4 linked regions of the Saccharomyces cerevisiae S288C genome follow. The gene in region 1 interacts genetically with each later gene. Each region holds a gene or a part of one and is shown in the gene's direction. Other genes may lie near its edges. The genes, in order: ARO8, MSA2, CTP1 and ARO10.

What was found.
Region 2: mutations in ARO8 (region 1) and MSA2 together harm fitness more than expected from each alone (negative genetic interaction), as found in Saccharomyces cerevisiae (2 studies listed by BioGRID).
Region 3: mutations in ARO8 (region 1) and CTP1 together harm fitness more than expected from each alone (negative genetic interaction), as found in Saccharomyces cerevisiae (2 studies listed by BioGRID).
Region 4: of ARO8 (region 1) and ARO10, changing one enhances a phenotype caused by changing the other (phenotypic enhancement), as found in Saccharomyces cerevisiae (2 studies listed by BioGRID).

What each region holds. Positions count from the first base shown.
Region 1 is NC_001139.9:113,371-118,959, forward strand, and holds ARO8 (bifunctional 2-aminoadipate transaminase/aromatic-amino-acid:2-oxoglutarate transaminase), read left to right. Parts: upstream 1-2,688; coding exon 2,689-4,191; downstream 4,192-5,589. Other genes in the region: KEX1 (serine-type carboxypeptidase), read right to left, coding at 1-1,294; MCM DNA helicase complex subunit MCM6, read right to left, coding at 4,484-5,589.
Region 2 is NC_001143.9:580,195-585,244, forward strand, and holds MSA2 (Msa2p), read left to right. Parts: upstream 1-3,458; coding exon 3,459-4,550; downstream 4,551-5,050. Other genes in the region: YKR075C (uncharacterized protein), read right to left, coding at 1-556; ECM4 (S-glutathionyl-(chloro)hydroquinone reductase), read left to right, coding at 2,089-3,201; VPS501 (sorting nexin family protein), read left to right, coding at 4,758-5,050.
Region 3 is NC_001134.8:782,451-787,462, reverse strand, and holds CTP1 (Ctp1p), read left to right. Parts: upstream 1-2,890; coding exon 2,891-3,790; downstream 3,791-5,012. Other genes in the region: VBA2 (Vba2p), read right to left, coding at 1-457; YBR292C (uncharacterized protein), read left to right, coding at 2,390-2,761; BSD2 (Bsd2p), read right to left, coding at 3,907-4,872. UniProt on the Saccharomyces cerevisiae protein: Transport of citrate across inner mitochondrial membrane.
Region 4 is NC_001136.10:1,231,789-1,237,773, forward strand, and holds ARO10 (phenylpyruvate decarboxylase ARO10), read left to right. Parts: upstream 1-2,429; coding exon 2,430-4,337; downstream 4,338-5,985. Other genes in the region: GTPase-activating protein RGA2, read left to right, coding at 1-1,408; SDH6 (Sdh6p), read right to left, coding at 1,490-1,729; RNA-binding protein YRA1, read left to right, coding at 4,770-5,054, 5,821-5,985. UniProt on the Saccharomyces cerevisiae protein: One of five 2-oxo acid decarboxylases (PDC1, PDC5, PDC6, ARO10, and THI3) involved in amino acid catabolism.

The sequences.
Region 1 (5,589 bases):
CATCGTCGCTAAATCCCTTTATTCCACCCCATTTTAGATTGTCTATAGTATCTAATACGCCCTTGTTATTACAAATCAAGTCTTTGTCACCATTGAACAAGACAATCTCTATTCCACTTTCAAGTAGACCAGGTAATAAATGGATAGATGGCTTTGAAATAGGATTAGACAATTTAGTTCCAACGCTATTAGTGCATTCCTTCCAATGATCAATTTTATCAGAATCAAGATGCAACGAATCAATAACACCAGGTGTGCTGAAGAATTTACTGACAAAGGAAATATCTTTCGGCCAATTCATACCACAAGATGGATAACTATCTTTTAAATTGAAGTTATACATGTTCAAGCAATCCGCTGTTCCCTTTTGCGAAGATTCCCTGGTATAAGACAATAGAAGGTTTAAAATATTCTCACATTCCTGATACGAAAAATGGGCTGCCTCATCTGTACTGGCAGAGTTTATCAGATTCTGGCAATTCTCGTGTGCGTTCGTTAAGTGTTTGAAATTGGGGTTGCTTTCATCAATCAGTTTCTTCTCCATAGCAAACGGAAGGTACGATAGGGACTGTGTATTGGGGTCAATCCAACCGTTACCAATCAATAGCGCCTTCAAGTCGTATGTATCCCCGTCGATCTTTGAAAATTTGTTATGGTTCAAAATTGCATTGGCAAAGAATGGTATGTATTGGCCAGCGTAACTTTCACCCGATAGTATGATTTTCCTAGTGAGGTCTTCTGGAAAAATCTTGAAATAGTTCTCCAGAAAATCCATAAAATGCTTGGTCACATCTTCTAGGTCTTCGTCAAATTTGTTTTTGTCGATTTTACCTTCGTCTTTATTTTGTTCGACAGAAAACCCAGTACCAGTAGGTTGGTCGATAAATAAAAGATCGCCTTTGGATATCCAGGACCCTTCATTTAGATAAAGTTTACCGTCTGAATTCACCCTAAAAGGGCCGGATTCGACCAAGGCACCATCCATGGAAGAGCAACCGGGTCCACCATTTAACCATATAATTAAGGGACGGTCGACATTGCCATTAGAGTCGTTATTGGTAAACTTCCAAAAAAAGTACTCCAAGTCAGAGCTATCCTGTTCATCCGCATCTTCGGAACGTAAAGGAATATGGCCAGCATGCATCTGTGGAATATTTGAAGGGTCTGGCACTTCAGATAACCCTGGCAACAGCTCATATGCCACTTTGTACTCCTCAGATGACGGAAGGGATACTGAGATCCTTATTAAAGCAGACATGGCTAGCCACGTTCCGAGCCACCTATTGTAAAACATCTATTCAGGTCTTTATCTCTACGGTATTCTATAGCCAAGGTACTCTTTAACCAAAGTATGCTTCAGCAAGCTTTTTCAAATAGATGGGAGTTGAAGACAATGATAAGAAATCGCTTTTCTTAATGTTTCCTATATTATCAAAATATTCCACTTTTTTTTCTTTTTCCACATTGTTTTTCGGTTCCGGGCTGCAGTAAGCAAATATAAATGTTGGTGACAAAACTTGAAAGTTATAGCCAAAAAGCTCGCAATTCCTCACCTAACAAAATGATCCTGTTGGAATAAAAATCAACTATCGTCTATAAACTAGTAGTCACACTACCAGTATATTATCATATACGGTGTTAGACGATGACATAAGGTATGAGAAACTGTCATCGAAGTTAGAGGAAGCTGAAGTGCAAGGATTGATAATGTAATAGGATAATGAAACATATAAAACGGAATGAGGAATAATCGTAATAATATTATGTAGAAATATCGCTTCCCCTTTGAGGATTCCTCTACCCTCGAGGAGAACTTTTAGTATATTCTGTATACATAATATTGTAGCCTTGATCAACAATGAAATGCCTACAATCATCTTAAAATTCACCAATCTCTCAGCTCTTATTTAAGCTTTGTTGAGACGAGAGTTAGTTATCCGACAATACTATACAAGACATTAACATCATTTTTCGTGCTGTTAGGGTGGTGTCTTTTCATTTGTTGCAATAAATGATAAGTAGTTTACCGTCCATTAACATGTGCATTAAATAATAGCATTATGTGAACATAATGTATATTTAACTAAAACTATTATCGAAGAAATCCGAAGAACTCATCCTTGTTAGCTCAGTTGGTAGAGCGTTCGGCTTTTAAGCGCATTTGCTTAAGCAAGGATACCGAAATGTCAGGGGTTCGAGCCCCCTATGAGGAGTTCTTCTTTATTTTTTTCCCGGTTCACTATTTTTCCAAGATTAAACATGGCTCATATACACCATCCAAAAATCTCTTAATTAACCTATAACCATTGTTCTCCTTCACCTCATTCAAGAATCTGGCTTCTGAATTGCCATTGATAGAAGAACAGTACTAAATTGCGCCGGAATAATGAAGAACATCCGGGTTACCTTAGATGTCTTTTTTTCCTTTTTTTATCACATTTTTCACTCTGCACTTTTTCACTTTCTCGAGGTCCAATCTATGACTAATATTAAGCGCATTTCATTTGAAGATATGTGTATCGCAATCTTTTTTCTTATCTTGTAGACCCTCCTATACACATCTCTAGACTATATATTTGGTTTGGTTATATCTTTAAGAACTTATTTCTTTTTCTTATTTTTCCATTCCACTAAGTTAAACCCTGCAGTTGATACAGACATTGAATAGGACAACCGATCGTTACTATCATGACTTTACCTGAATCAAAAGACTTTTCTTACTTGTTTTCGGATGAAACCAATGCTCGTAAACCATCCCCATTGAAAACCTGCATCCATCTTTTCCAAGATCCTAACATTATCTTTTTGGGTGGTGGCCTGCCATTAAAAGATTATTTCCCATGGGATAATCTATCTGTAGATTCACCCAAGCCTCCTTTTCCCCAGGGTATTGGAGCTCCAATTGACGAGCAGAATTGCATAAAATACACCGTCAACAAAGATTACGCTGATAAAAGTGCCAATCCTTCCAACGATATTCCTTTGTCAAGAGCTTTGCAATACGGGTTCAGTGCTGGTCAACCTGAACTATTAAACTTCATTAGAGATCATACCAAGATTATCCACGATTTGAAGTATAAGGACTGGGACGTTTTAGCCACTGCAGGTAACACAAATGCCTGGGAATCTACTTTAAGAGTCTTTTGTAACCGAGGTGATGTCATCTTAGTTGAGGCACATTCTTTTTCCTCTTCATTGGCTTCTGCAGAGGCTCAAGGTGTCATTACCTTCCCCGTGCCAATTGACGCTGATGGTATCATTCCTGAAAAATTAGCTAAAGTCATGGAAAACTGGACACCTGGTGCTCCTAAACCAAAGTTGTTATACACTATTCCAACGGGCCAAAATCCAACTGGTACTTCCATTGCAGACCATAGAAAGGAGGCAATTTACAAGATCGCTCAAAAGTACGACTTCCTAATTGTGGAAGATGAACCTTATTATTTCTTACAAATGAATCCCTACATCAAAGACTTGAAGGAAAGAGAGAAGGCACAAAGTTCTCCAAAGCAGGACCATGACGAATTTTTGAAGTCCTTGGCAAACACTTTCCTTTCCTTGGATACAGAAGGCCGTGTTATTAGAATGGATTCCTTTTCAAAAGTTTTGGCCCCAGGGACAAGATTGGGTTGGATTACTGGTTCATCCAAAATCTTGAAGCCTTACTTGAGTTTGCATGAAATGACGATTCAAGCCCCAGCAGGTTTTACACAAGTTTTGGTCAACGCTACGCTATCCAGGTGGGGTCAAAAGGGTTACTTGGACTGGTTGCTTGGCCTGCGTCATGAATACACTTTGAAACGTGACTGTGCCATCGATGCCCTTTACAAGTATCTACCACAATCTGATGCTTTCGTGATCAATCCTCCAATTGCAGGTATGTTTTTCACCGTGAACATTGACGCATCTGTCCACCCTGAGTTTAAAACAAAATACAACTCAGACCCTTACCAGCTAGAACAGAGTCTTTACCACAAAGTGGTTGAACGTGGTGTTTTAGTGGTTCCCGGTTCTTGGTTCAAGAGTGAGGGTGAGACGGAACCTCCTCAACCCGCTGAATCTAAAGAAGTCAGTAATCCAAACATAATTTTCTTCAGAGGTACCTATGCAGCTGTCTCTCCTGAGAAACTGACTGAAGGTCTGAAGAGATTAGGTGATACTTTATACGAAGAATTTGGTATTTCCAAATAGAGAGGTAAATACGTTGGAAGAATATATATAAGGTGAAAAAAGGACGTACGTATTTTTGTATTGCTTAAATTTCGAAGTATTTTTTCTTTTTGTAAAAGACTGCAAGTGGAAGCCAAAATATAATATTTTGTTTTTTCATTAAGAGTACAACTTTATACAACAATTATAACTTGATTTGAGAGCCAAGTTATGTAAGATATTTTTCTCCCACAAAGAGAAATGCACACGATAGGAATTTACAACGTGAACGATACTTGAAACGAAATATGAAAATCCGCAAGAGTGCACTGAATTAGCTGGAATCCTGTGGTTCCAATTGATCCAAAACCTCACAGTTTGGATGAATAACATAAACAGTTTTATTATTTTCATTTTCCTCATTCTCAAGATCTCTTAAATTGTGTCTGGTACCATGAATCTCCATTAAAATCCTATCTTTGACCAACCTTTTTATGACTTTGAACGCTAATCTTCTCTCTTCCCAATATTCTGCTAACGAACCCAAATCATTTTCCTTCTGTAATAAATACCAATCAACTATATCCACAGCTGTTAGTTCTTCTGCACCCTCCCTATCTACTTCAGCAATCTTTCTAACGATCATGTTCATCATGGACACATATTTATCATACGTCACCGTTGTTTTCTTCTTCTCGCTTGTACCTGGACGAGCTGTAGCTTCGCTTTGTCCTTCTTCTATATCTGCTGGTGGCTCACTCGTAATTACACCTGACCCAGTCCCATCATCATTGTCATCATTGTTTCCAGAAGCGGCGTGACTTTGACTCTCTATGTTATCAAATTCTTCATCCATTTCCACATCATCCACATCAACACGAATAATACTTTGCCTTAAAAGATCGTAAGCTTCTGCAATGAATGATGGAGTAATTTCATCGACACAATTAGCCCTCGCAATAGCTTCTGATAATCTAATCATACTTTCAAGTTGCCTAACTGTGATTCTATAACTCGATCTACTAAATCCCTGGGCATCATCCTTTCTCAGTTCCTTATACTTCTCGACTAAATAGGAACGGGCTTCTTTCGTTAATATTGGTTTAAAAGTACGTGCATATTTGATATAACGACGTAGTTGTTCTGCACTAAATGGCGGCTCAATGGCTTCGTCTCTTTTCATGTGTAAGTCAACGATATGAGATGCCAATTCGGTATCAATTTTTTCGTTACAGTCATCAAGAATAACAAAAAATAAATCAAATCTGGACATGATCGGTGCGGTCATATTTAAATTACCCCTCAGTGATAGTTTCCTATTGTATCTTCCACCTACCGGGTTGGCAGCCGCTAGAATTGATGTTCTTGCATTTAAAGTAGCGTGAATACCAGCTTTAGCAATAGAGATGGTCTGTTGTTCCATAGCTTCATGAATGGCAA
Region 2 (5,050 bases), on another chromosome or scaffold:
CAGACGATGGGCATGAAATGTCTTCTAATTTCACCAAAGCGTTGTCATTGCTCTCTATAGAAGCGTTAATCTCATCCACCTCCTCGGTTACCCAGCATTCCGTATTTTTCTTTAAAGCAGATTTTAGATTTTTTGTTTGTTTCTGGTCAATTTGGTTCTGGACCGGCGATATTTCGTTTTCATTACTATCTATGTTAGTCAAATCTGGACCGTACAACACCGTTACATCGGTTTCTTTGTTCCAGTTGATGGACAGTGGATTGGATTTGGAGTTCTGTAAACCATAGTGATTTATGGACCAACGCCTCCAGAGGCAATGATGTAGCCTAACGAGGTACATGTTGTAATCTAGCACGTCCTCTGAAGAGCAACTTGGTAATCGAAGTAGTTTATGTTTGCGCATCTTCAATAGTAGTGTCCATGAAGCCGATATTTCCAAGCTTGCATCATTAAATTCATGATGGAAATAGTCAATCGCAGGCTTGTTGTAGTTGGTCATGTTATCCAGTAACATTATATTCTGGTACGAAATTATTGTATCGTCCAAACTAGTCATTTTCTGTATATGTATCTATTTGTGTGTGTATGAACACTTGTGTGTAGTATCTGAATGCGATAAGAGAAAGGGCCAAAGTTGAACTGAATGCAAAAAGTAAAACCTATAAAACCGTGTTGACCATACGCTTTCATATATATATATATATATGTTTGTTTTTGCTAAGACCCGGTAACTGTACTTTTTCTGCAGTCATCCAAGGGAAGACAAAAGAAGAAAGAAAAAACAAGATTAATGTCCCCAGGTTTTTTCTTTTCCTGGCGGAAAAAGCTCAAATCTAACATTTCCCCGCGGGGGTTTCTTTGTAAAGAGTATCGAGTCGGAAACGAAAAAAAAAAAAAGATGAGAAAATGAATTTTTCCGGTCGCCTAAAGATAGAGGTACCAGCGGAAAAAATGCAGCAAAAGCAAAATACCCCATTCAAGTTCCCCCTGTCTCGCCCCTCTCACGCTTCACTGTCCCCCGCTTTCGGTTTTTCCGGCTACGGCATTTCTGTTGAAAGTTGCCGGAAAAACCCCAAAAAGCATAAAAAAAAAGAGCGGGGGGAAGAAAAAAAGATTCCTTTCTATCTTTTCCTTCCCCGGCCTATTCGGGTACTCGCTTCCGGGTCCGCTGTCGTTTATAATGATTAGTGCAGAGAGCTTTCTTCTCTTAGTTTTTCATGTGGTAAAGGCAATGCCATTTAGAAGGATACTACGTGGGGTTCAAAACCGTGAATACGTTGTCTATCGTGTTATGTATGTTCTGAGTTTCTTTTTGTCATTCTACTAGTTTATGGACTGGGACTATGTATCTTGCAGTATGATTTCGTCAGGAAGCTTGTCATAGCAAGGCCTGAACAAATCGTACGTTAAAATAAAAATGAGCACCAATTCGAGTCACTGATGCCTACTGCTCAATCCAACCATCTAGTTCTGCAAAGATACTTACTCCGCATAATTAAAAAAATAAGGTATTTTAAAGTTGTGTAGTGACGAATGTAGTGACGCGGAAACGTTTTACTCGTCAATGGACATTTGCGAATGTGTCCGATAAATAGTTGAGGCTTTTCCTGCATTCTGTCAAGAAGGGTATGTGTATGAACATGCAAATGACACTGTAAAATGATTCATTACCCTGATTATGGAGTGATTTTCTTTCCTTTTTTTTTTTACATTTAGTTTCATTATTATGCAAATTAGAGGGTATACAGTTGAGATTTTAACACTTTGAATTAAAAAGTGTTACAGAGGAAACCGACGCAAAAGGCTTGGTGACGCAAACTTTTCCATCTTTATTTCACCTCTTCAGACGGTCCTAAGACCTTTTGAACGTATCAATATAGTTTTATCATCTGTTCTCTGTTGTTCTCCGTTACTAAGATATTAGTCAGCTCTTGAAATTTCACACCCCTATTTATTTGTCTTAGCGTCCAACCCCTCTCAACCCTTTTCCATTTCTTGTATAAAGGTAGTTAATTAGGTAACGCTGCTCTTACCATCACTACAGTGCTTACGAGAATTTACCCAAACCCTGCGCAAGATAAATAAGAAATGTCGAAACAGTGGGCGAGTGGTACAAACGGAGCTTTCAAAAGACAGGTTTCGTCCTTCAGAGAAACAATCTCTAAGCAACACCCAATTTATAAGCCAGCAAAGGGAAGATATTGGTTGTATGTTTCACTTGCATGCCCATGGGCCCATAGAACACTAATTACGAGGGCTTTGAAGGGATTAACCTCTGTTATAGGATGTAGCGTAGTCCATTGGCACCTTGACGAGAAAGGATGGAGATTTTTGGACATGGAAAAGCAATTGGAGGACAGTGAAGATTTTTTGGAACATTGGCACGATGTTGCAGGTGGTATTAGAACTGCTAAAGAGGATTCCAGCAAGAGCTTCGCCGAGATCAAGAATGACAGTCAAAGATTCATGGTTGATGCTACCAATGAGCCTCACTATGGATACAAGAGAATCAGTGACTTATATTACAAGAGCGATCCTCAATACTCGGCAAGGTTCACCGTCCCAGTCCTGTGGGACTTAGAAACCCAAACAATTGTTAACAACGAAAGTAGCGAAATTATAAGGATTTTGAACTCTAGTGCGTTCGATGAATTTGTCGACGACGATCACAAGAAAACGGACCTTGTTCCTGCTCAGTTGAAAACACAGATCGATGACTTCAATTCTTGGGTTTACGACAGCATCAACAATGGTGTATACAAGACCGGATTCGCAGAGAAAGCAGAAGTTTACGAAAGTGAAGTCAACAACGTATTTGAACATTTGGACAAAGTGGAGAAAATCCTGAGTGACAAATATTCCAAATTGAAGGCCAAATACGGTGAAGAAGATAGACAAAAAATCTTGGGTGAGTTCTTCACTGTGGGTGATCAATTAACAGAAGCTGACATTAGATTGTATACTACCGTCATAAGATTCGATCCTGTGTACGTCCAACATTTCAAATGCAATTTTACCTCTATTAGAGCCGGATATCCATTTATTCATTTGTGGGTAAGAAATTTATACTGGAATTATGATGCCTTCAGGTACACAACAGATTTTGACCATATCAAGTTACACTACACGCGTTCCCACACAAGGATCAACCCCTTGGGAATTACGCCCCTGGGACCCAAGCCAGATATTCGTCCTTTATAACAAGCTGTAATTAAATAATCAAATGTCTATAATCTCCCTGAGTTGCCTCTTTTTCTATACTCAATTGGGTAATTGACGCGAAACGCGTTAAAGTGCAAAAAAAGGCCTGGAAATTATATTTAACGCAATGAAATATTTTCATAATATGACATTCATGCACAGCTGTATTCATTCTTCTACTTTGTAGTTTGTTATTCTTCTTTATCGGTTTCGTTTTACAAAAGATTTTAGCAAGGAAGCAGTTTTTAAACCAATCAATGGTATACACAACACCGCAACAACAGCAGAGATTCAGCTCCACACCGCAATCTAGCCACACTCTTATCTTCTCGCCAATCAGAGCCCCTTCAATGCAAACGCCCTCCTCATTGGATTACCAATCACCTTCAATTGTTGTGTCATCGTCTTCAATGAAGGTTCACGGCCGGTCTTCCAGTTTCGGTAAATTTTCACTGTCTATTGGGCAAAATGGTAAGGCTACAATACTGGGGCCTATAAACGTCCTTCCCACTGATACATCGAAAATGGAGAAACCTGTACCAAAGAAAAAGCCTGTTACTTCTGACCGTGTCGAAAAGACTCGTATATTATCTTTGTTGAAAAAAATGAGAAACAAGAGCAGTACTGTCAACAAAAAATATAGTAAAGTACCATTAAAGTCTACGACAAGTTTGCAACCAGCAGCTACTGCACCTTCACCACTAGTGTCCAACATCATAAAGCCGTCTCCCAAAAAGTTAGCTTCCCCAAGAACTCCGAATGCAAACTCCAATTTAAATCTAAACTTTACTTCATTTCAGATTAAAACAGGTTTCACTCCCAATCTCGATGGAATTTTACTTGAAAACTTCACGTCTCCTAACACAACCGCTGATTCACAGGGTAATTCCGCCAGTAACATCATAAATAATAATCACGGTAGCGCAAATAATACCAACCAATTTCTTTTTAATCTACCACTTCAATCATCACCAAGGCAATTCAGGTCTCCTGCAAGATTAATAGATCCCCTTCCCATATCGGACTGGAACACCAGTCTCTTGATGTCACCCCCAAGAACGACGAATTTTGAATCTGCAAACAATCACTTCAATTCAAATTTTGCTCAAGCATCGATGTTAAGACGCCCTTCACTACCGCACATAGATGAGGTGATTCCACAGGACTCTAATCCAGCCAATTACTCAGATAGATCGGACTATCTATCTGTGGACCAGAACGCCAATAATCATAATGGTGCACTTTCAGAACAGACCTATAATAATATAATGAAATCTTCTATGATTTCGTTACCTATAGAAAAAGATGATGCCACAATGGCACTACGAAAACTTGTCTCCAGAGAGTAGGTCCATTTGGTTTTCGTAAAATACACTACGTAAGATTTCATTATATATTCAAAACCGAAGAACTTTATTTAATTAATTCTATTCAATATTTTTTTTTTCCCATTAAATTGTGTAGTGGAAGCAAAATGCACTGCGCTTATGTGAAAAAGTTACACAATAGGGAATACATGGAACAGCAGATCAGAACTGCAACCCTACAGATTAGATATGGAGAACGACAAGGCGTCACATGCGAGCCCAAGCATTGGAGTGAACGAATTTGTCGTTCAAGGGGAGATATCCATAGACGACTCCGAAAGGTCTGTCAAGAGTGTTAGCGTTAGCATAAGTGATGATGAGGATAGTAAGACAGATGTACAAGATAATATGGCCACACCGTCCACAAGATCGAAATTTCAAACAGATCTGGCCATTGATAATAGGCTATTGGAAAAAGATCCAAAGTACAAAAAACTTTTCACTGAAAAAAGAAGACGTCGAAGACCAGAAAGCTGTATTAA
Region 3 (5,012 bases), on another chromosome or scaffold:
AATTTTGACGATTATATTCTTTCTGATTAGGTACATAATAATTCATTAATATGGAACTAATCACAGATATGGGTACTTGGATGAGAAAACACCACCTCCAACCAATGCTCGACGCTATTGTGCCACCGAAAGACGCTCCACATATGGCACCAAATCCCAAAAGTAAATTCTGAAACGCTTGAAAAATTCCTCTTTTCGAACTTGGAATAACGTCTGAATTTACGATTGTAGAAAGTGTGATCAAGCCACCACCTCCTATGCCTGTCAATGCTCTCATAAAACTAAGCATGTAGATGTTTTTCGAGAAACCACAGGCTAGACATCCAATGGTAAAAGCCCCATTAGCAAAGAAAAGGCAGTTTCTTCGACCAAGTGCATCAGAAAATGACCCATAAAGAGGTTGAAAAGATGTTGATGTAATTAAATACGCAGTGGTGATCCAATTTGAAATACTCATCTGATTAAATTCGTTACCAATCGTTTGGTACGTCGAAGCTGTAACGGTTCCGTCAAAACCGGACAAAAAGACATTAGAAAAAAGAGTAGCTTCAATAATCCATCAATTTGGGATTCTTGAAAGCGCTATATCTTCGCCTTTGTCCAAGTCCTCATCTAAGTCTTCACTGTAGTCGACAGAAGGAATTTCAGTCTCTTCAATACTGCCATAGTTTCCATCCTTGCTTTTCGGTAGTACTTTGTGTTTACTAGATTTAAGCATTGCGAAAAAAAATCTGATTTGGAATTAATGTTTCATTTACTACATTTTAAAGCATTTTGTACCATTCAGAGGCAAGAATTGGCCAATACTGTGTGTTCTTATAACGATAACTAGTATATATATTCTCGAAATTGTATATTTCTGTGGATTTGCACACAATCATCTAATAGCAAATTAGGAAGAAAGCCACACATGCACATATATCGCATCACTTACCGAGCCTTAGAATGTGGTTGCCACACATTAGGACATGTTACCCCCCGCACCTAGCAGAAATATAGTATTAATCTATCAGTGCTCAACACAATGTGATATCAGTACAATTCTTCATGCCATGGTACGTCGTCTCTATTTTCTTTTATATTCTGTTTATTATATCATGTTCTAAAAATGTCATATATACAATTCTGAAAAGGTTTTTGACCCTTACGTAACGCTATTCGGTCAACTACTTGTGAGACATATATTGTTCAAATATGTAAATGAAGAAAAGTACGCCTATTACTAGGATCCACAATACCGTAAAGCCTGTTAAACAAGGAGGAACAATATATATATCATAATTTTTTTAGAAAGAAAAGCCAAAGAAACAGCATTTGCAGGCACAAATCCGTGATAATAATGCATAGAACAATATGTGAAACCCCACAAGGTTACTGGTCGGATGATGAGCGAGCCCAGAGAAACCAACAGACCTCTGTAAACATCACTATGCCTTATCACCACACTTTACCATAATGCATTGAAAGTGCAATTGGAGAAGCCACCAATAGACGAGCTATGATGATATATTTAGCGTCCCTTAAAATATCGACTTATACAGTGGATAACATTTCCGCTCGCATTCCTCGAAGAGCATTATTTCCAAACTACTGTTGAAAAAAAAAAAATACGAAGACGACGCTTACCTGAGCACCCAGGATGTACACTTCGCCACAAATTTTGAGAGGCCTTTTGTTGTGATATTAGTTGAAATATATAACCACTTAATCAGGCAAAAAGACAGCAGTCACTATTTCAAGTTGGTAAAAAAATCCTGTTTTCGCTAATTGTCGATTTGGCCTTTCACCTGGACTTGAAAGCTTCAATTACGGCCTGATACATTCATTCTTTATACTGACCTTTGCCCAATTTATTATCCAGAACTATAGCCATTAGGTTGCAGGCCACTGGGACCACCACTGACTGGAAAATATTCTATTGACGAATTTTCCGCAACTCATCGCTGATTAGTTTATGAACTTATCCCGTCGGAATGAGAAAGTTACATATGCAGGAATTCTCTACAAGCAGCAATAACATGCTTTTATTTTACTGTCGTATTGTAATTGCTTATTCGGTTCCAAACATGTCAGCTATGCCAATATTTTAGAAGAGTGGGAAAAAAAAGAGATGTTATAGACGAACGACAAAAGTTGTGAAAAACTCGAATGGAGTAATGGAGCAAGAAACAAGAATCTGTCATAGTCAATACGTGATTTTGATATGCTTTCAAGCTTCTGAGAACTTCATTCATTACACTCCACCACATATACTATACAACGAATAGCCCAGTCGAAGAGGTTATGATTGTGTTCATTTATTTTTTTACATGACAGAGTCTCCCTATTGATACTAAGCTTGCTGCAATAACTCTTCTTACTAAGAGGTAACTTACATCTTGACTTTTTAATGAAGTTCCCAGCCGATTACCATTATACGTCGCCGTTTCGTTCATGTAAATATTCAAATATACTACACTTTATATCTTTGCTTCTTATATTTTCGCGCGTAGGTTTGCCTAATTACATTTTTATATTCCTCATCAATAAAGCCGCCAACAAAGAGCACAGGGTAGAAACTCTGCTGTCTGGGAACTCGGCTAACGCTTGTAAGCTATTTAATATTCTCAAATCATTTCAACACCTCTTTTTTTTTTTTCAAATATGTACTATTTTCTCTATTTCCATTAAGTTAGTCTTACTGAAGAGTCAAGAATATGGAAGAATTCCTGCGGAATTTTCAATTATTAGAAGTGAAAAAAAAAAAAAAGAAGAACAATGAAATTTAGTCTCACTTTAGCGTGATATATAAAACGTAAAATGTCGAAGCCAACGTAAAATTAAAAACATTTTGATGTCACAATGAAAGAACTCCAAAGTAGAGCTTGAATTATAAATTAGCATTTTACCGATGTCCAGTAAAGCTACCAAAAGTGACGTAGATCCATTGCACTCGTTTCTGGCAGGGTCCCTAGCCGGTGCTGCTGAAGCATGTATAACATATCCTTTTGAGTTTGCCAAAACAAGGCTGCAGCTGATTGATAAGGCCTCCAAGGCATCAAGAAATCCTCTGGTATTGATATATAAAACTGCAAAAACTCAGGGCATTGGTTCCATTTATGTCGGATGTCCCGCATTTATTATTGGAAACACCGCTAAGGCGGGTATTAGATTTCTTGGCTTTGATACCATTAAAGACATGCTAAGAGATAGTGAAACTGGAGAACTAAGTGGTACAAGAGGGGTGATAGCTGGGTTAGGTGCGGGACTATTAGAAAGTGTTGCCGCAGTGACTCCTTTTGAAGCAATCAAAACTGCTTTGATCGATGATAAACAATCTGCTACACCAAAATACCATAATAATGGGCGCGGTGTAGTACGAAACTATTCATCATTAGTCCGTGATAAAGGATTTTCTGGTCTTTATCGTGGTGTTTTGCCAGTTTCCATGAGACAGGCCGCAAACCAAGCCGTTAGATTGGGTTGTTACAATAAGATTAAGACCTTGATCCAAGATTATACGGATTCGCCAAAAGACAAACCTTTATCATCCGGGTTAACCTTCTTAGTGGGTGCATTTAGTGGTATTGTGACGGTCTATTCCACCATGCCCCTTGATACTGTGAAAACAAGAATGCAAAGTTTGGATTCCACCAAATACTCCTCTACAATGAATTGTTTTGCAACCATTTTCAAAGAAGAAGGGTTAAAGACGTTTTGGAAAGGTGCTACGCCTAGACTTGGGAGATTGGTCTTGAGTGGTGGTATTGTTTTCACTATCTATGAAAAGGTCTTAGTTATGCTAGCCTGAAATGTATTATTGTGTACAATATATCATCTAATGTTTTCTACTCGTTATAAGTCTATTTACCAGCCGATCACTTAAAAAAGTTATATATCTCTTTTTATCATAATGAAGAAGATGGCTTATGCTTGATTTTGACTTTGGTTGAGGTATTTCTTTTCCAATTTTTTGACTTGAATGTAGTCGTATATACTCTTCAGGGTGATAAATAGCCCAAGAAATGCCACAAAAACAGCCAACCATGGTATGTTTTGTTTTTCTTCATCCAGACCGTGATTCAAATGTGATTCAAATTTATCTTGTGTCGTTGATTGTGAATTTAGACGAACATCATCGAATTCATTTGGATCCTCTAATTCCATTCTATTTAAGCTTTTATTTTTGCCGACTTTTGAAGTAACATCATTGGGAATCATTGAATAACCATATCCAATGAACGTTAACCCTAATCCAAACCTTGAACCTTGCTTTGCTGCGTGAGATGTGTGTAAAATGTAGGTTATTAAAAATCCAATGAACTGAAAACTCGTGCTTACGATGATATTCCATAATAAATTTGCTATATTTCCTACAGGAAGCCCCTCAATGCATATTTCGTCGTAGTAGATATCTGAATTGTTCAAATCCATTCCATAATACGAGGGGGCCATATCAGCAGCAGCTTCGTCGTATGTAGGTGGTATGTCTTGTTCGTTATTACCTTCAGTCTCTGTGGTATCTGGTTTTGCGCTTAAATTGCTAAAGACACCATCAAACATGGCACCTTGTTGTATATCCGAAGACTGTTGTGTACGTTTCTTAAAAAGTCTATCAAGAATATTAAAATGTCTTCCTATTTTTCCTATATGTCTGGCTGCTTGTTCCCTCAGCTGGTGTGGTACTAGTCTTTCTGTCGTACTATTTCCTCCACTGCTGCTTCCCTCGTCCTCTATGCTATCTTCCTCGTCAGACCCTATTTCCGTTTCCCCTTCTACGCCAGTTTGTGTGTCTCTAGTTCGTCCTGCGTTTCCGACATTTATGCCATCAGTAGATGAACCTGCATGAAGTGTATTCATTTCTTGCCCTATAAGTAGTTCTTGCTCTGGCATAGCGCTTAGTTTCCTAGACTACGTGTTCTTGTTATTCTCATGCTCTTTTTATGTATCTAAATTGGAAGATTTTTATAAAGGTTATGTACTATTCTTCTAAAAAAAGTAGGCGCAAAGGGACTCCGCATCGTATAACACGA
Region 4 (5,985 bases), on another chromosome or scaffold:
ACGCATAAATGGTTCATTTACAAGTTCAAGCTCGGGGCATCATATAGCAATGTTCCGTACGCCGCCTTTGGAATCAGGGCCATTATTTAAGAGGCCATCTCTGTCATCTGAGTCCGCACACCACAGATCTTCTAGCTTACAGACGTCTAGATCCACTAATGCATTGTTGGAAGACGATTCCACGAAAGTGGATGCTACTGATGAAAGCGCTACAAGCTTGGAAAAGGACTTTTACTTTACTGAGTTGACTTTAAGGAAGTTAAAATTAGATGTGAGGGAACTAGAAGGTACGAAGAAAAAATTATTACAAGATGTTGAAAATCTAAGATTAGCGAAAGAGAGGCTGTTAAATGATGTTGACAATTTAACAAGAGAAAAGGATAAGCAATCTGCATCTTCCCGGGAGTCCTTAGAACAAAAAGAAAACATTGCAACATCAATCACTGTAAAGTCACCAAGTTCAAATTCCGACAGAAAAGGGAGCATATCTAATGCCAGTCCTAAACCACGCTTCTGGAAAATATTTTCAAGTGCTAAGGATCACCAGGTAGGCGATCTAGAATCACAGCAACGTTCGCCAAATTCATCTTCAGGCGGAACGACAAATATAGCACAGAAAGAAATATCATCACCGAAATTAATTCGAGTACACGATGAGCTTCCTTCTCCAGGCAAAGTACCACTGTCGCCAAGTCCAAAGAGATTAGATTATACGCCTGATGGTTCCCATTTATATGGATCTTCGCTACAAGCTCGATGTGCGTATGAAAAAAGTACTGTTCCAATAATTATCAGGTGCTGCATTGATCGCATTGAAAAAGATGATATAGGCCTGAACATGGAAGGCTTATACAGAAAGTCGGGCTCACAGACTTTGGTTGAGGAGATCGAAAATGAATTCGCTCAGAATAATTCGTTGCATAGTGATACATTAAGTCCCAAACTGAATGCTTTACTGAATCAAGATATTCATGCAGTGGCTAGCGTATTAAAACGATATTTGAGAAAACTACCAGATCCAGTTTTATCATTTTCCATATACGATGCCTTGATAGATCTAGTTAGAAATAACCAACTAATTGAGAGGCTACCATTAAACAACGACAAGTTTTTGGATTCACCACAAAAAGTGACTATTTATGAAATGGTGCTCAAAAGCCTACTTGAAATTTTCAAAATTTTACCCGTAGAGCATCAGGAAGTATTGAAAGTATTGGCAGCACATATCGGCAAAGTTCGAAGGTGCAGTGAAAGAAATTTAATGAACTTACATAACTTGTCGTTGGTCTTTGCACCGAGTCTTATCCACGATTTTGACGGCGAGAAAGATATTGTGGACATGAAGGAGAGGAATTATATCGTGGAATTTATACTTGGAAACTATAGAGACATATTTAAGCAAGCATAATACAGATTTGCAAAAGTTAAATAAACATAGGATAGATTAAATAAGAAATCATATGAAAAAAGAATAAAGTAAGAAAATAGTTCAATGTATATTCGTCAGTTCAGGGTGTGAAAAGGTGGCAATTTTTTTGTTTCCGACCCGTAACAAGTGTTCAATGGTGGTGAAGTCTTTTCTTGGCAAATTTCTATACTTCCCAAATTCTTCATGAATATAATTCACAAAATTAACTTGGTTTTCCTTTGGTTTTGTATGAGCCGTTCGTATGGAAGCCCTATACAGGTGTAAGACTTCTTTTTGTAACCCACTTAATCTCTTAGGCATGCTCTTGGTATTGCGTCTCCTCTTCTTCTTGTGTGTTTAAGCTACATTATCTTTGTTAAGAATAATTTGGCGAACCCCTTTTTTTCTTCGGCTTTGCAAGGTTAATTAATTAACATCTACCAGTTTTACTACATTTTAGATTGGTTCGTCCACCGAAATTTAAAAAAGCAGGATTGAAAGCGTACAACAACGTCTTAGCGAAAAAGATAATCCAAAATTCGATGCTTGTACACCTCATGTAGCTTCCTTATTAACATTTGGTAGTAGGCTTAGGCTATTTTTTGAAAAAGCCGTCATATATTACTTTGAGCCTTTGCGAATCCTCTCCAAAGTGTCGGTTACCTACCGGGAGGGATAACCGCGGATAGCCGTCATTTACCGAAAATTGCCGAGGTCATGCTGAGCATTTGTCGTACTTTTGTGCGGCGGAGCTTTGATACCTTCGGTAAGTGTCGGTATGTAATAGGTTAGTGGCATCTTATTTATTGTGTTGAGTAAAGTTTAAGATATAAACTGGGCTAGTTTGCATCGTCACTACAGCGGCAGCTCACTTTCATTTTTTTTCTGCGTTTATTAATACTACATAAAATCTGATATAAAACATATTTAACTGATCAACCCTCTCAACTTGATACTCAAAACAAGTTGACGCGACTTCTGTAAAGTTTATTTACAAGATAACAAAGAAACTCCCTTAAGCATGGCACCTGTTACAATTGAAAAGTTCGTAAATCAAGAAGAACGACACCTTGTTTCCAACCGATCAGCAACAATTCCGTTTGGTGAATACATATTTAAAAGATTGTTGTCCATCGATACGAAATCAGTTTTCGGTGTTCCTGGTGACTTCAACTTATCTCTATTAGAATATCTCTATTCACCTAGTGTTGAATCAGCTGGCCTAAGATGGGTCGGCACGTGTAATGAACTGAACGCCGCTTATGCGGCCGACGGATATTCCCGTTACTCTAATAAGATTGGCTGTTTAATAACCACGTATGGCGTTGGTGAATTAAGCGCCTTGAACGGTATAGCCGGTTCGTTCGCTGAAAATGTCAAAGTTTTGCACATTGTTGGTGTGGCCAAGTCCATAGATTCGCGTTCAAGTAACTTTAGTGATCGGAACCTACATCATTTGGTCCCACAGCTACATGATTCAAATTTTAAAGGGCCAAATCATAAAGTATATCATGATATGGTAAAAGATAGAGTCGCTTGCTCGGTAGCCTACTTGGAGGATATTGAAACTGCATGTGACCAAGTCGATAATGTTATCCGCGATATTTACAAGTATTCTAAACCTGGTTATATTTTTGTTCCTGCAGATTTTGCGGATATGTCTGTTACATGTGATAATTTGGTTAATGTTCCACGTATATCTCAACAAGATTGTATAGTATACCCTTCTGAAAACCAATTGTCTGACATAATCAACAAGATTACTAGTTGGATATATTCCAGTAAAACACCTGCGATCCTTGGAGACGTACTGACTGATAGGTATGGTGTGAGTAACTTTTTGAACAAGCTTATCTGCAAAACTGGGATTTGGAATTTTTCCACTGTTATGGGAAAATCTGTAATTGATGAGTCAAACCCAACTTATATGGGTCAATATAATGGTAAAGAAGGTTTAAAACAAGTCTATGAACATTTTGAACTGTGCGACTTGGTCTTGCATTTTGGAGTCGACATCAATGAAATTAATAATGGGCATTATACTTTTACTTATAAACCAAATGCTAAAATCATTCAATTTCATCCGAATTATATTCGCCTTGTGGACACTAGGCAGGGCAATGAGCAAATGTTCAAAGGAATCAATTTTGCCCCTATTTTAAAAGAACTATACAAGCGCATTGACGTTTCTAAACTTTCTTTGCAATATGATTCAAATGTAACTCAATATACGAACGAAACAATGCGGTTAGAAGATCCTACCAATGGACAATCAAGCATTATTACACAAGTTCACTTACAAAAGACGATGCCTAAATTTTTGAACCCTGGTGATGTTGTCGTTTGTGAAACAGGCTCTTTTCAATTCTCTGTTCGTGATTTCGCGTTTCCTTCGCAATTAAAATATATATCGCAAGGATTTTTCCTTTCCATTGGCATGGCCCTTCCTGCCGCCCTAGGTGTTGGAATTGCCATGCAAGACCACTCAAACGCTCACATCAATGGTGGCAACGTAAAAGAGGACTATAAGCCAAGATTAATTTTGTTTGAAGGTGACGGTGCAGCACAGATGACAATCCAAGAACTGAGCACCATTCTGAAGTGCAATATTCCACTAGAAGTTATCATTTGGAACAATAACGGCTACACTATTGAAAGAGCCATCATGGGCCCTACCAGGTCGTATAACGACGTTATGTCTTGGAAATGGACCAAACTATTTGAAGCATTCGGAGACTTCGACGGAAAGTATACTAATAGCACTCTCATTCAATGTCCCTCTAAATTAGCACTGAAATTGGAGGAGCTTAAGAATTCAAACAAAAGAAGCGGGATAGAACTTTTAGAAGTCAAATTAGGCGAATTGGATTTCCCCGAACAGCTAAAGTGCATGGTTGAAGCAGCGGCACTTAAAAGAAATAAAAAATAGAAACTTGTGGGCGCAATTATAAAACACTGCTACCAATTGTTCGTTTTCTGTTCATTAACACATAAAAAACCCTTATGTAACTATATTTACAAAGTAAATACGTATATTAAAGCTATTTTACCACTACCACAGAGTTCTTTGTCCAGTTGCTAGTATTTTTTTTTTCGCGACGAGGCAGGGGCGGGGAGACGTGTTGTTTTTCCACGGCTTTCGGCTCACCACTTGAAGAACTATAAAAGGCCGCCAAATTTATCCTTTTTCACTTCTTCCGTTCGCTTTTTTCTGTCATTCCTATCGTGTGTTTAGTAGTAGGTTTTTTTGTTAGAAGAAGTTTTATCCGAAAACTATCGAAGACAAATAGATAAAAAAATCTCCCTCGTTCTATTTGAAACTTTAAGAAATCCATATTAAGAAAATACCTACATCTGCTAAATGTCTGCTAACTTAGATAAATCCTTAGACGAAATCATTGGCTCTAACAAAGCAGGAAGTAATAGAGCCCGTGTCGGTGGTACTCGTGGTAACGGTCCAAGAAGAGTTGGTAAGCAAGTTGGTAGCCAACGTAGGAGCCTTCCAAACAGAAGAGGCCCTATCAGAAAAAATACTAGGGCACCTCCAAACGCAGTCGCTAGAGTTGCCAAGCTCTTGGACACCACTAGAGAGGTCAAGGTCAACGTCGAAGGTTTGCCAAGGGACATTAAGCAGGATGCTGTAAGAGTATGTTAATACGTGAAATGAGAGCTATTTGTTTAGTTACTCGCATCGTCTCGTGTGGATACGAGAAATATTCTTTGTAAGGAAGGATATGGCACACGCTTTTGATCAAGAATTCTCTTTTTAGAGATGAAGAAAGAGTCCGAAATACTTCGCTAGAGAAAATACAAAAAGAGTATCGTTTTCATAAGCCAACCATACCAATTTTTTTCAATACTTCAAATCATGGCCTATAAGGTTGGAATTACCAGCTACCACTGAGAATGGGTTTGTTCTTATTGGCTGGGTTAACTCAAATCAATCTGACTATCTGCTAATCTGTCAATCTTACATTTTTAAGCTGGCGTATTGTGTCGCCTCGACCGTGATAGTTAGTTCCTATTTTTAATAAGCGTATCATCCAATACTGAAGTTGTGGAAGGATCAATTAATTTTGTATCCTTTCAAGAGGGAGTAGCTTTCAGTTTCGAATGGCACCATTTTCAAAAAATAGCTATGGGAAACATGTCTTTCATGAACGTTCGAAAAGATATGAGTGCATCGCTTCATTTTTTTATTATGATAGTTACAAAAATATTTGATTTGAGACACCTAATGAAACCAAAGAGGAACTCACCCATCGTGGTACATGTTTATTTGAGGGTTTATTTTTCCTACGCAATGGTATACTTTTAATACTCTCAACTCCTTGATTGTTTGTGTATTGTCCCTTCCTTCTTTGATTTTATATCATAGAGATATATGACTAACTTTTTTTTTTTTATTATAGGAATTTTTTGCATCTCAAGTAGGTGGTGTTCAAAGAGTTTTGTTGAGTTATAACGAAAGGGGCCAATCTACTGGTATGGCTAACATCACATTCAAAAACGGTGAATTGGCCAGAAGGGCTGTTGAAAGATTTAACGGCTCTCCAATCGATGGAGGCAGATCAAGA